Mus musculus: one gene and its partner. The protein of the gene in region 1 interacts with the protein of each later gene in a pairwise test. Links are inferred from orthologs where the notes say so. Each region holds a gene or a part of one and is shown in the gene's direction. Other genes may lie near its edges.

Evidence for each region.
Region 2: the proteins of Iqub (region 1) and Tmcc2 interact in a two-hybrid assay, tested with the Homo sapiens proteins (2 studies listed by BioGRID and IntAct). The two-hybrid records come from large-scale screens. The link is inferred for Mus musculus from reciprocal best matches to the Homo sapiens genes IQUB and TMCC2.

The regions. Positions count from the first base shown.
Region 1 is NC_000072.6:24,498,011-24,501,840, reverse strand, and holds part of Iqub (IQ and ubiquitin-like domain-containing protein), read left to right. Parts: intron 1-411; coding exon 412-573; intron 574-655; coding exon 656-828; intron 829-1,442; coding exon 1,443-1,598; intron 1,599-3,830. UniProt on the Homo sapiens protein: Adapter protein that anchors the radial spoke 1 (RS1) complex to the A microtubule of outer doublet microtubules in axonemes. The triple radial spokes (RS1, RS2 and RS3) are required to modulate beating of the sperm flagellum.
Region 2 is NC_000067.6:132,355,741-132,358,356, reverse strand, and holds the end of Tmcc2 (transmembrane and coiled-coil domains protein 2), read left to right. Parts: intron 1-539; coding exon 540-851; 3' UTR 852-2,042; downstream 2,043-2,616.

The DNA.
Region 1 (3,830 bases):
CTTGTGGACTTGTCTGTACGAACATTATAGTATGAGGTAGAAATCATTAATATTACATTTAGTAATTTACTGACATGTGTTCCTACAGTCAGCTTTGTTATTTTCCATTTCCTTAAAATAGGAATATCTGGTTGATCACTGCATATAATGGTAACTATAGCTAACAGCATGCATTATATGCTTGAAAATTACTAATACAGTAAAATTGAAGTGTTCTCACCAAAGAAGGTAAGTACGTGAATAATGGATTTGTTAGCTTTCTTTAACCATTTCACAGCACGGGCATATGTTGATTGAAACATCCTTTGTTACAAATTTAAACATATATAACATTTTCAATTTAAAATAAAGAATAAACAGAAATTTCTATCTCTGTGACATAAAACACCCTAACGTTTTCATTTTTCTTAGGCATCATTGTTGGGAATAATGAATCTCTAATACAATATGGAATCAAACCACAAGAAATTGTTCAAGTGGAGGTGTTTTCCACACTTCCTGACCAATATCCAGTCAGAAGAATAGAGGGCTTGAGTGAGGGCTCCCAGATCATAACGGTCACCATTCAGACCAGTGAGTCCTTAACAACTGTTAGACCAAGTGTTTTAGTGTGCCCTTGTCGAACTCTCCTTCAGCCTTGCCTTTCATTCCTTAGGCATCGATCGCTATGAGGAGGTAGCAGTTGAGATAATAAAATCTGACTTCCACAAGCCATTTCTTGGAGGATTTAGACATAAAATAACAGGACTAGAATATCACAACGCTGGAACACAAACTGTACCTAGAAAGATTCCTGAAAAAGACAATCTGTTCTGTAGGGACACCCAGGTAATATTTTTATCTTTCTGTTTTTGTGTGTGGCAATGGTATCCTGGTTGGTCCCCTCGAATTTCTCTTTAACTGTGCCCCAATCTGCACAGGTTTGGGACTGACCTCACTGAGGTGACAGGTAATGAAGAGATGATGGATAAGCTGGGATCTGTTGAGTCATGTGCTCTGATAGAGACGTACCAGTGGCCCAGAGACTCGGCACACTTATTATACACCACTGGGTATGGAATCTACTGTGGAAGGTGGCTCAGCTCTTAGCGGGTGTCTAGGGGAACAGGTTCAAATTGCAGCCATCAGAGAGGAGGAAGCTGGAAATGATATTCTCTTCACATACTGTCAGCTTCCTCACTGTGATCTATGGAAGGAAGGCTTTGCTATTGCTCTGAGGCTGATCTGGGAAAGCATGACCATTCCCAGGATCGGAGGCACTGGGGTCCTTACCACGGCCATGCTCATGGCAACGACAGACATTCACTCAGGTTGCCGTCCATCCACTCTCCACATAAATAATGACAACTAAAATAGTTACTCTCCACTTGTCTATGCTTCTAAGATTTTCTTTACTATAGAAGTCATGTAGTAGGTGCTTACTCTTCATGTTTTCATTTTAGACAGTTTTTCAGAAAAAAAAGCTACAACAAACTACAAATACCACCTCCACTCAGATGACTAAAATTGGTGTGTATGTATCAAACATGACCGATAAACTGCTCAAGCCAGGAAATTACTTTTCAGCAGCAGAGTACCACGCTCGACGGTTGCATGCGGTAAGAGAGTGTTCATTGGGGTTGCACACTGAGAATTAGAAGCGTATGCCAACTGTTCTCTGTGTATTTCCCTAAGCATAAGTGTGAGTTGCATTCTATTGTTACTAAAGGCAACCATGCTGAACATCCCTCTACAGAGATAACCAAAATTAAAAACTTTACTAATTCTTTCTGTTCCCTAAGGAATCTCCTCAGACTCTTTTGTGTAGCCTCTAACCATTATGAGACTTATTAAACACTTCTGTCCCTTACCTTTATGCCATTCTAGTCGCATGAGGACAAGGCAGTTTGCATTCTCTGATAAATATATAATCTCTTCTTTTTTTATTGTTTGGATGATTTATCTTTTTTTTTCACCATTTCCAACCTAATTGATCTTTTACAGATAAATTACAATAGTATATCGATCATCTACCATCACTTGGGTGTGAGTAAAAATGACCTGAAAGTAGATACACACACACACACACACACACACACACACACACACACACACACACACACACACACACACATTCTGATGCCAGGCTCTTTTCTATCCTAACCAGACCTAGATATTCAGAAGTGAACATGGAATTCAAAAAACCTCGAGCCTGTTAACTCTTTTCTCCTATGGGAACTCTACCAGAGTCAATTTTGGGCTAGCTTACTAACCCGGCTATATCTCTTGGCGTTGTCAAAGCTGTTTAGAAATGTGCCAGCATCACCTGCAGCACAGACAAAGGTCCAGCTTCCTCCGGAGCTAAGTGAGAAGGGTTGTGAGATGTGTCCACTCTCTGAAGATTAGCACAGCACCTCGGTTATGCATCAGGACTGTGTTTCCTTGTTAAAGAGTGTTAGATCTTCCAGGCAGGCCTCAGATGCTGCATTCTCACTGATCTCAGGTCAAACAGTGAAGTTCTTGACAGTTTATGATTTTAGAGAGAGAACAAAGCTTCTCAGTGAGGAAGGGAACAGTAGTCATTCAAAGAAGGGGGTTGCAACGTGACATCTTGAAGGTGCAGAGAGTCCTCAGGAGAAAGAAGAAAGAATCTTGCTTTTTTAGTCTGCAGCTGGCTTCATTAGTGCCATTAGATTGCCAGCCCTTGTTTTTTTTTTCTTTTTAGTTTTTATTTTATTTTTGAGATTACAATATAATTACATTTCTCTCTTCCCTTTCCACCCTCCAAACCTTCCCATATACCTCTTCCTACTCTCCTTCAAATTCATGGCCTCTTTTTTCACTAATTGTTATATATGTACACACACACACACACACACACACACACACACACACCTCTATGTGTGTGTGTCTCTCAGTCTGTATAATACTGCTTGTTATGTGTATTTTACTTTTAGAGCTGACCATTTATCACTGGACAACCAACTTGTAGGCTTTATTTTTCCCCTGGGGAAGACCACTTCCCTTGCTCCCAGCTTTCCTCAATTGACTAGAGTTCTTGACGTTGAGGCCTTTTGGACTTTCCCCCACCTATCTAAATTGACTACATGACTGCTCCATGACATGATTAAGGGCAAGGTGTTTATCATAGATATTAGGGAGAAAACAATATAGGCGTCAGCAAGAGTGCAGAGAGGAGGGAGAGAAGGGAGTAGACTGAACATGATCAGTAGACTGGAGATTTACATCGACTGTCCCTCTAGAGTCTGATCTCTTACACACATACACATAGTCTTATAGTACTGTATGGCTAGATTTCAAAGCCAAAAATGTGGCTCATTATTCATAGTTTTATATTATTGTACATATAATAATGTCTCAGAAAGAAATAAAGGCAGACTGCCAGTATTGTTTCGTTATAGAATTTGAGCTGACACGATCCTTTCTACCTTTCTTTTTTTTTTTTTTTTTTATAAAAAATAATTTTTTTTCCATTTTTTATTAGGTATTTAGCTCATTTACATTTCCAATGCTATACCAAAAGTCCCCCTTACCCACCCACCCCCACTCCCCTACCCACCCACTCCCCCCCTTTGGCCCTGGCGTTCCCCTGTACCGGGGCACACAAAGTCTGCGTGTCCAATGGGCCTCTCTTTCCAGTGATGGCCGACTAGGCCATCTTTTGATACATATGCAGCTAGAGTCAAGAGCTCAGGGGTACTGGTTAGTTCATAATGTTGTTCCACCTATAGGGTTGAAGATCCCTTTAGCTCCTTGGGTACTTTCTCTAGCTCCTCCATTGGGAGCCCTGTGATCCATCCATTAGCTGACTGTGAGCATCCACTTCTGTG
Region 2 (2,616 bases), on another chromosome or scaffold:
CCTCTCCTTACAGCTGGTAAGGACCTCACAGCTATAGCCTCCCCAGGGCAGGGACTGTGTCACATGGTGAGGCAGAGAGATTTGGGGGTCAGACTATTCCTGACCCCCAAAATCTTGTAACTCAGATATAGCTCAGAGTCCAGCAATCCCACCAGTGACTTATTTCTTTACAGTAGACACACACACACACACACACACACACACACACACACTTTAAAAGTTCACTACCAGCCGGGCATGGTGGCGTACGCCTTTAATCCCAGCACTTGGGAGGCAGAGGCAGGCAGATTTCTGAGATCGAGGCCAGCCTGATCTATAAAGTGAGCTCCAGGACAGCCAAGGCTATACAGAGAAACCCTGTCTCAAAAAACCAAAAAAAAAAAAAAAAGTTCACTACCCTAACATTGCCATGCAGAAAGCAAGCTTCCAAGCTTACCCCTGAGGCCACACTGAAGCCCTACTGGAATCAGCACAGGTGGACTGGGCTCAGTCTAGTCTCAGCCACCCTGGGCTTCCACATCCACCCTCTGTCCCCACAGGAGGCCGTGGAGTCCTGCCTGACCCGAGTCACCAAGCTGGAACTGCAGCAGCAGCAGCAGCAAGTGGTGCAGTTAGAAGGTGTGGAGAACGCCAACGCGCGCGCCCTGCTGGGCAAGTTCATCAACGTGATCCTGGCACTCATGGCCGTGCTGCTGGTGTTTGTGTCCACCATTGCCAACTTCATCACCCCCCTCATGAAGACGCGCCTCCGGATCACCAGCACCGCCCTCCTGCTCCTCGTCCTCTTCCTACTGTGGAAGCACTGGGCCTCCCTCACCTACCTCCTGGAGCATGTGCTGCTGCCCAGCTGAGCGGCTGCCGCCCCACCCTGTGCTCTCCGGATCCCACTAGCCACAGGCATCTCCAGGAGGGCCCGGGGCTCCTGCGTCCCTCGGGGTCTGTCATGTGACCTGTTTGGCCCCTAACTGTCCCTTCTTTTCACTGCTTCTGTCTGACACCATCTCCCTTTCGGCCTGAAGGTTTCAGAGAGGGTGCTCTGGGCTGGAGGGAGCAGGGACACTCTCAGCCAAATGGAGCAGTGGGGAGACACCAGGGCTGCATTATTTGAATTATTTTGCAGCCACATGGGACTTTTCTGGGTTGACAAGAGGATGCTCTAGTCATGTAAGCCACTAAGATAGAAGGCCAGTCTCAGTTTCCCTAGGGAAGAGCCCATCCTGGAGGCAGCCACAGTTTCCTCCCATGGAGATGGTCTGGATAAAAGCCAGTGGGAGGCCCTGCTGAGCCTAGAGAGTGCAGAAAGGGGAGGGTCCCCAGCCTTGGGGCCAGAGGGCAGGCTTGGCACAGCCACTGGGAGCTCAGCCTCCCCTCCTCCTGCTTCTCCTTCCACTTGAGCTGGTTTGAGACTGGTTTCTGGAGGCTGTGGGGTGTAACTTTGGGTTTGTATTTTTTCTGCTCATCTTTCTGCCTGTCACCGGGTGTGCTGTTTTTCTGAAAAAAAAACAGGCCCCAAGGGCCCTGAGCCTCCAGCCCAAACCCTTAGACCTCTGGGATCACGTTGAGTTCTATTTATTTATTTACTTATTTATTTATTTGTACCCACCCTTCCCTCACTTCTGCCCAGCTGGGCTCCAGAGAGAGGACCCTGCCCATCCTCCTTTTGAAGCCAGGACTTATTCTTGGTTCATCATACTCCAGACCATGTATCCTCTGGTGTCCTGGCTGGAAGAAGGGGCGTGTGGCCATGCAGCCCGCTCTCCCAAGCTGTCCCAGCAAATGGGCAGGAGGGGCATGGCCTCTTTTATATATATATATCTATTTATTTTATATGTGTGTTTGTGAGGAAGAGGATATTTGTCATTTCCTTAAGGCTCTGGAGTGTTGTGTTCGATTCTGCACAGCCCAGCCTCCCCGAGGGCCTTTCCAAGCACAGTGGGGATTTCTTAGAACAGGAGAGAGGAATCCATGAAGCAGGAGAAGCAGTGCCTGCCAGCTGTGGTGGACCTTCCTAAGAAATAAATATCCTTTATGTTTTCAAACCATCCTGTCTGAGGTCTGCTGATTACACTGTCTCTGAAAAATCACAGGATTTCTCCCCACACTGAAGCATTCTGGGTATCATCTGCTGGCCAGATGTTGTCTTCCATACTGAATGAGGAACACACACACACACACACACACACACACACACACACACACACACACACTCACCTGCCTTGCTCTGAGCAACTTAAATGATATGCCTATCAATCCATCCAGCCCCAGCTTTGTTGGAGCACTTCCCAGAAGGGAAATGGAGAAGCGCCCATAGATGCTGTGACCAGTTGTAGCCACAAGGGGTCAGCAGAGTCCGTGCTCCAAAACCTCTCTCAAGACGAAGTCCTCACAAGGCTACTGGCTTTAGCTTGGCTTTGTTACACTTGTTCAGCTGAGGCAGGGAGTACCAGCTTTCCAAGTATGGTGTGGAGGCCTAGCACTTAGTGCCTGCCCTGTGGTTGTAGCACCTACCCCTAACAGCCCCAAAGCACTTCCCAGCAGGACCTTTGTGGATATTTGCAGTAGGCCCTTTGCAGGAGAAGGCAGCAAGAGGAGCTATGATAAAGCAGAACAAAAATA